2 linked regions of the Oryctolagus cuniculus genome follow. The protein of the gene in region 2 purifies or fractionates together with the protein of the main gene of each other region. This does not show direct contact. Links are inferred from orthologs where the notes say so. Each region holds a gene or a part of one and is shown on either strand. Other genes may lie near its edges.

Region 1 (4,233 bases), on a different chromosome or scaffold from region 2:
AGCAGAGAGCTGGACTGGAAGAGGAGCAACCGGGACAGAATCCAGCGCCACGAAGCCTGGTCATAATAAAATCACACATGACAAGATTCAATTTCACACATATAAACTCAAAAACTAGAACTCAGGACTGACAAAACGTATAGCTCAGAATATACGGTGGGGCTGGCACTGTGGCACAGTGGCTTAAGCTACTGCTTGTGACACCAACATCCCAAATGGGAGTGTTGATTTGAGTCCTGGCTGCTCCACTTCTGATCCAGATCTCTGTTATCGCACCTGAGAAAGCAGCAAAGACAGACCCAAGTGACTTGGCCACTGCTACCCTCATGAAAGAGACCCAGATGGAGTCCCAGACTCCTGGTTCCAGCGGGACCAGCCCCAGCTGTGGTAGTCATTTGGTGAGTGAACCAGTGGATGGAAGGTATCTGTCTCTCTCCCTGGCTCTCCCTCCCTTCCTGCCTCTCTCCCTTTCTGCCTGTAAAATAAATACATAAATCCTTTAAAAATATATGTAGGCGGGGGCTGGCACTGTGGCACAGCAGGTTAAAGCCCTGGCCTGAAGCTCCAGCATCCCATATGGGCGCCGGTTCTAGTCCCGGCCGCTCCTCTTCTGATCCAGCTCTCTGCTGTGGCCTGGGAAAGCAGTAGAAGATGGCCCAGGTCCTTGGGCCCCTGCACCCACGTGGGAGACCTGGAAGAAGCTCCTAGCTCCTGATTGGTGCAGCTCCGGCCGTTGTGGCCATCTGGGGAGTGAACCAACAAATGGAAGACCCCCCCCCCTCTCTGCCTCTCCTCTCTGTGTAACTCTGACTTTCAAATAAATAAAATAAATCTAAAAAAAAATGCAGGCAATAAGGCTTATAATCTTGCCTCCAAGCAAGTATTAGGCAGGAACCCAACACCTGCTGCTCTTTCTCCCGTCATTAATAACAAGCCCAGCTTCCTTCTCAGGTTCCTACCCTTCCTCCTGAACAAAACAGCTTTAGTTTAGGAGGGCAGAGCTCACATTGCACAACAGCTGAACTCCAACCTGTGTCCTTCTCTCCTGTTTCAACATCACCTGCCACACTTACACCTTTACCCAGAAACTCGCCCGAAACGCCGAGCTGCACATGTCGCCCAGCCCAGACCCCTCCCTACCACGGGAGCGGGTTAGAAATGAATCAAAGCCCTCCTGGCGGGTGACTGACTAGCGGTTGTTTGGTTTGATTCTCCCGGGAGCACTGTGAAGTGAGCACTGTCATCACTCTCCCGTTGTACAAACATGAACTCTGAGCACAGAGTGCAGGTGGCAGGCAGGACCTTGGCTGATCTCTCCACAGGGACGCGGGCGTGCAGGGACGGCCGTGGTACTCGAAGGAAGGGGAGACGCCGGGCCGCGGGGCGAGGGGCGGATTCAGAGCAGAGGAGGCTGCTAGCCCTCAACAACTCGACGCTCTGCAGAGCCACAAAGAACAAAACCTTCCACGCCGAGGTCATGCAGGGAAGACACACGGGCTTTCCTTATCGCGCAAAGACTCCCTGCGACTGCTGGAGTCTACTGATCAAAAGGGGAAAGACAGGAAGGCGAGGGGAGAGAGTCAGGAGAACGGCCCACTTCTGCGCCCAAGGTCGGTCTGCAATCAACACTGCTGGTCCCATCAAAGGAAGGGAAAAGGAGGAAGCTGGGGAGAAGTAAAAGCAGCGGGGGGGGGGGGGGGGGGGGGGTCAGTGCTGCCTAAGATTTACCGCTGGGCGGTGAGCATCCCACATGGAGGGCCTGGTCCCGAACCCAGTCATCCGACACCAGCTGCCCACAGGCACAGACCCTGGGAGGCAGCAGCGATGTCACTGGGCTCCTGGCACCCACGTGGGAGACCTGGCTGCACCTGGCACCTGGAGAGCCAGCCAGGGAAAGGGAGCGCCCGCGCCGGGGGTCCCTCATTCTTCCTGTAGATTCATGACTCGAACTCCCCCAGAGTGATGCGGTCCCAGAGATGGTCAGGGACAAGCACCGCTCGGAGTGGGCAGTGACAAGGATAATCTCATAAAAAACAACACGTCTGACCACAGGGAGTGTTCTCCCTTGCAGGCATGCCAAGTTGCTTTACGAGGCCCGGGTCCCACCCGCCGAACTTTGACTCCCGGTCCCTGGCCTCTTCCTGGGCTTCAGCAAGCCGCAGGCCCGTGCTCGCCGCCAAGCTGCACCGGGCGCGGCTCGCGCAGGGAGCGCGGCCCGGACCCCGGCGCGCTGTCCCCAGCGGCTCGCGGGAGGGAGAAGCCCACCAAAGCGGAGACCCCGCGCAGCCCAACTCGAGCACAGAGCGGATCTTCTCACCCTACTCACAGCAGGGCAGCTCAGCACCTGGCAGCAAGGCAGGACTGGGGGGCGGGGGGCTACAGGGGCTCCCGCGGCAGGAACGCAGGCGAGGGTCCTCGGCGCGTCCCCAGGTGCGCGGCCGTGGGCAGGGCTCCCCGAGACGCCCGCCCAGGGGTGCAGAGCCGGGACAGCGGTGCGTCCAAGGTGAGCGCGCTCAGCTGTGCAGACCAGGGGTGCAGCTCCCGCGGGGCGTGCGGCGCCGACACAGGGAGCCCCCCAAGCCCGGCCACGCGGCCCCCGGCCCCCCAACTTACCTCCTCCAGAAATTTGGTCAGATCGTACACCTTGTGGTGCAGGATCAGCCAGGTGCTTTTGCTGTGGTTGTGCTTCTTAATCTCTTCTAGGGTGTAGTACTTCACGTCTTTGTCTGACTGCGCAGCCATCTCTGCACGAGGCGGACCAGGCCCTGCACTCACAGCCGTACCGGGTGGAGCGGGGCAAGCGTCTCAACCAGCTCCGCCCGGGACATTCCCCGCGCACCCGGCCCGGCGCCCGACACAGGGCGGTGGCGCGGCGGAGGAGGGGCGGGCGCCGCGAGGCCCCCGAGGATTGGCCAGGAAGCTTATCGCTCAAGGGGCTCCGCCCTCGGCCGACCCTCTGCTCCAGCCCGAGCGTGCCCCGCGCCCAACGCGCAGGTTCTGATTGGCTGCGGGAGCTGCCCTTCACAGTCACCCGGCGGCGGGGGGGCGCGGGGGGCGCGGAGGGCGGGCGGGGCTTCGCTGAGACTGCGCAGACGGCGGCGAAAGATGCGCGGTGGGGGACAGGGTTCTCCCCGGGGAGGGTAGCGACCTCGGCTCGCAGTGGCCGGCGTTTGGTGAGGGGCGGCCGTCAGTGGTCGTCCTCCGCATCCGCAGACGTTGCGGAGACGCTGGATGGGACGGGAGCCTCCCCTCGGCTTCCCGCGGAGCACACGTCCCAAATGCCCGCTGCGGACCGCGGGGTCGCGTCCCTGACCTCCGCCCGGGGACTTGAATTCTTCCCGTACGAAGTAGGGCATGAGTCTGCCGCTCTGAGGAAGCGTGTGCGCCTCCCGGCCGTCCGCTCCCGCGTCCTGAGGAAGCGGGAAGAAGCGCTCCTTCGACAGGGCACGCGGGCCCCTCCCGCAGTGGTGGTGGGCTGCAAAAGGCCTGGCCCCGGGGTGACCACGGAGTCCCTCCTGCCCGAGCGTCGGCAGGGCCTGCAGGCAGCCCTAGCCCAGGAGGAAGAAAAGCATTCCAAAAATACATGTGCGTCCCCTTGTGCTCGCCAGGAAAACATTCCCAAGTGTGACACTTTGGTATTAAGAGATGTTTCTAAGGACTGAGTAGTGCTAAGAAGGTAAACTGTTTGCACTGTGATACTCGGCTTGAGTCACGCATAATACACAGCTGCTTTATTTCACTCCAACCAATGCAAACGAAAACGCTGAGATGATGGCCTGGAAGTCCTGTGCTTTCTTTAACCTTTACTTCTCAGAGAATCACAGGTTCACAAGAAGCTGCGAAAGTAATAGAGAGGTGCCATGCACCCCACACCCATCCTGCAATGGTTACACCTTAATTTATAGCACAGGATCAAAACCAGGAAGTTGACATTCTGTACAGTTCTGTCCTGACTTAGGACTTGCGTAGATTTGTGTTACCTCCACTACCACTACGTCGGAACAGTTGTGGCACCACAAGGGCTCCCAGGTGCTACCCACTTACAGCCACACCCACTTCCTTTGCAAACCATCCCTGACCCAGACAACCAGGCATCTGTGTTCCATGTACATAACTTTACCGTTTCAAGAATGTTATACGAATGGAATCATACGGCATACGGCCATTTGAGGATGGCTTTTTCACTTGGCGTACTATGCCTTTGGGATCCATCATTGTAAGTGTACTCATAGT
Region 2 (3,804 bases):
AACAGGACGCTGGAGCCAGAGGCTGGAGCCGGGAATCTAATCCAGGTACTCTGCTATGGGATACTGGCATCTTAACTGCTAGGCTAAACACCTCTCCTGGCGGCTTGGTTTTCAAGCTGATCTTGCATCATAAAAATCCACCTTCCTTTACTGTCAAATCTGTAGCATGAAGCAAGCACCCTCACATACTCTAAGCAGGAACACTAACTGACATAAGACACCTGTTATAAAATGCAAGATGTTCGGGCCGGCGCCGCGGCTCACTAGGCTAATCCTCCGCCTAGCGGCGCCGGCACACTGGGTTCTAGTCCCGGTCGGGGCACCGGATTCTGTCCCGGTTGCCCCTCTTCCAGGCCAGCCCTCTGCTGTGGCCAGGGAGTGCAGTGGAGGATGGCCCAGGTGCTTGGGCCCTGCACCCCATGGGAGACCAGGAAAAGCACCTGGCTCCTGGCTCCTGCCATCGGATCAGCGCAGTGCGCCGGCCGCAGCGCGCCAGCCGCGGCGGCCATTGGAGGGTGAACCAACGGCAAAGGAAGACCTTTCTCTCTGTCTCTCTCTCTCACTGTCCACTCTGCCTGTCAAAAAATTAAAAAAATAAATAAATAAAATAAAATGCAAGATGTTCATACCCTCAGGTTCAGTGACTCCTTCTCTCTGATGTTATCCCACAGAAGCCTTTGTACAAATGTGCAATGTTGTGAGAGTATCTACAAAGAGGGCATTAAATTGTGGTACAACTATATGAGAATACTATGTACTCTTTAAGAAGAATGAGATTGCTGTACAACGATGTCTAATTTATAACCAGAGGGAAAAAAGCACAATCTAAAACGTGTGTGCATGATCCCACTACTGTAAACATGGTAACAGAGATGTAAGCAGAGAACACCGGTGGAAATGCATGAGAAAGTATTTGGGATGGCTGCCTGTAAGACATGGGATGATGGGGGACTTTAACTGTCTAAGTTCAATTTCTAAACTTTCAAAAACAATTAAGCATTACTTTCTAATCAGAAAACAAGATTAAAAGTCCTGTTTTCTTACACTGCCCCCTGCATCGAGGAATCTCATCGTCATAAGGCCCACCTTGGTCAACAGCCAAGAGAAGACTGGGCTGGGAGGCACTGGCTCTGCCTCATCATACCCAGGAGGTGCGCCCTAGACCCATCCACCGCCTTCTCCTGGGTACATGGGTCCTGGGGCTCTCCCAGGGAACATAAAGGGTGGGCCAGGCTGTAGCTCCAGCTGGTTGCACCCACTACTTTTCACTAACTAGCTCTTGCTATTCACTACCATTTCTATTTGTAGAGGACTCTCTCTGGATTCTGCTTTTTAACATCAGGGTAGGAAGCAGCCAGCTGTTCCAGCCATATGTCTCTCTAGAACTTCTGAGCAGGACCTTGATCCTAAAAAAGAATACAGGTTTATCAAGTACTCAAAGCTACAAAGGATCTCTGGCTCATTGAGCTGCGGTAGGAAACAGAGATGGTTACAGTACTGGAAGGCTAAGGCACTGAGGTAATAATCTCTGGCTTAATCCCTCATTTCCCTAGTCCTTGCCTCCAATCAGAACCTAAGAGCAAAAATATACAGGCACAGTTCAAAAATTCTGTAGCCTGGCTTTTCGTGGCGCTCAGCCCCAGAGACAACACGCAACTCCCCCCCGAGCTCCTGGCTCAGAGCTGCTCAGGGAAGAGTCCTGACTGGGAAGAACGGCCTCTTGGGGTCTTGCCAAGTATTGCAGGAACAGCGAGGCACTATCCTACGTGGCTGGAACTGCAAGCCGCACCTGGCCTGTTCAGAGGCAGTTCTTCCTGAACATATCCTGTCAGGCCTCAAGACATCAGGAAGGAGAAATGCCTGATGCTGCAGCTGGAGGCCTGGAGTGGGAGGCAGTCTTTGCACACTCCCCTGACCCCCGCAGTCCCCGCTGCATTTCTGCGAAGGACACGGGACGGGGGAGAGGAGTACGCCAAGCCTAAGCAGCACCACCACCATGAGACAGGACCCCTGTCCCAACAGAGCTGACACTGCGGAGTCTGAGTAGGTGGACACAGTGATCACTCAGCACAGCAAAACAGTGCACAACTAACAGGCAGACAAGTTTTATGGACTCCTCCTGCCTCCAAACAACTCTGCCACTACCTTGCCCTGAAATGTCCACCTTACATCTTAGCACCACCGGCTCCAGCCCCACCCAAGCATGCCCTCTGGTCCATTTGTCTTTCAAGCCCCTGCAGGTGTGTGTCTCAATGCCAAGGTTTATAGGACCGCAGAGCTGGAAGCACTTGCAAAGACCTGAAGTCCAGCCCAGATCCAGAGAGGTCTGGGATTTGTCCCCAAGCTACACTGCTAGTCAGCTCAGTGCCCTTTTCCATTAGCAGACACGGCAGGACTTCCTTCCACAAGGCTCCCTGTCTACTTGGGTGCTCAGCCCCTTATTTGAAGACCTGTTTCAGACACTGAGGGAGAATGCTGCTGGTTAAATGACTGGAAAGCAGTACTGCTTAGACCAGAGACATGAGCCAGTTAGCTTGTCTTAGCTTTGCTTCTAGAATGACCTGAGGAGCAACCTCGGAAATGTGAGGCAGTTGTCATAAGGATGCAGATAACGACTGCCTGGTATAGTCACACCCCTGCTGGAGGAACCTCTCTCCACAAATGCCTGGCAGCAGCACCATCTTGCCCAAAAGAAAGACGGGGGCGCCTCACTGATCTGTCTGCGAGAAGCCCCACTTGGCAGAGCACAGAACAGCAGAGGCCACACACAGCCCACTCACCAATGACCAGGAGCACGAGAATGCTGATGAGAACCACAAAGAAGGTGTTGCCGTAGGTCACGACCAACTCCACCAGGCGAGACTTGAAAATCTTCTGCCATCTGTGAAGGGAAAGCACATGATCCTGGGGGGCAGGGCCCTGACCAGCACAGAGAGTCAGCTTTGCACTCTTCTCATGGCCCGAGCGCGGCATGGTGTCAGCTTCAGACACCTGGAATTCTCCAATGTATGGTAGCTATTTAAAAGTGCTTAAAAAAAGCTGCATGTATACAGATAGGAATGCCTAGACATTAGTGGTCTCTAGAGAGGAAAACCCACTTTTCATTTGTACTCTCCTTTGTAGTACTCAAAATGTGTGTCTTGTAGGACTGGCGTTGTGACACAGCGGGTTAAGCTGCTGCTAGCAACCCATATGGACACCCAGTTCAAGTCCCAGCTGCTCCACTTCTAATCCAGCTCCCTGCTAATGTTCCTTGGGAAGCAGTAGAAAATGGCCTAAGTGCCCCTGCACCCACACGGGAGACCTGGATGAAGCTCCTAGCTTTGGCCTGGCTCAGCCCTGGCTGTTGCAGCCATGTGAGGAGTAAACCAGCAGGCGGAAGGTTTCTTTCTCTCTCTCTCTCTCTCTCCCTCCCTCCCTCTCCCTCTCGCTATAACTCTGCCTTTCAAATAAATAAATAAACCTTTAAAAAAAAGAAATATTCTTTTAAAAGACCCAACGAGGTCCTATTTTGGACATTAGTTAAGTGCCGTAAGTCTCTCTTATTCTTTAAATCCCCCTTCCTTTCTCCCTCTTTCTTTTCCAATTTACTTTATGCAAAAACCAGGTTGCCTGTACCATACAGCTTCCCAGGTTGCACTTCCGAGGGTCCTCTGAACTGCATGCAGATTTGGTTTTGGGCAAAAATATTCCTCAGGAATCGCTGCACATCTTCTTGTGGCTCAGATTAGTGGCCTATATTTCTCACTTTAGAAGTTTTGAAAAATATCTGAAGAAGCTAACCATTTGGTACAGTAGTTAAGG

Evidence for each region.
Region 1: the proteins of BCAP31 (region 2) and CYB5A purify together in Homo sapiens (co-immunoprecipitation; 4 studies listed by BioGRID and IntAct, with this or other methods). This does not show direct contact. The link is inferred for Oryctolagus cuniculus from reciprocal best matches to the Homo sapiens genes BCAP31 and CYB5A.

The regions. Positions count from the first base shown.
Region 1 is NC_091441.1:4,464,149-4,468,381, reverse strand, and holds the start of CYB5A (cytochrome b5), read right to left. Parts: upstream 2,931-4,233; 5' UTR 2,743-2,930; coding exon 2,614-2,742; intron 1-2,613.
Region 2 is NC_091453.1:132,081,401-132,085,204, forward strand, and holds part of BCAP31 (B-cell receptor-associated protein 31), read right to left. Parts: intron 2,882-3,804; coding exon 2,781-2,881; intron 1-2,780. UniProt on the Homo sapiens protein: Functions as a chaperone protein. Is one of the most abundant endoplasmic reticulum (ER) proteins.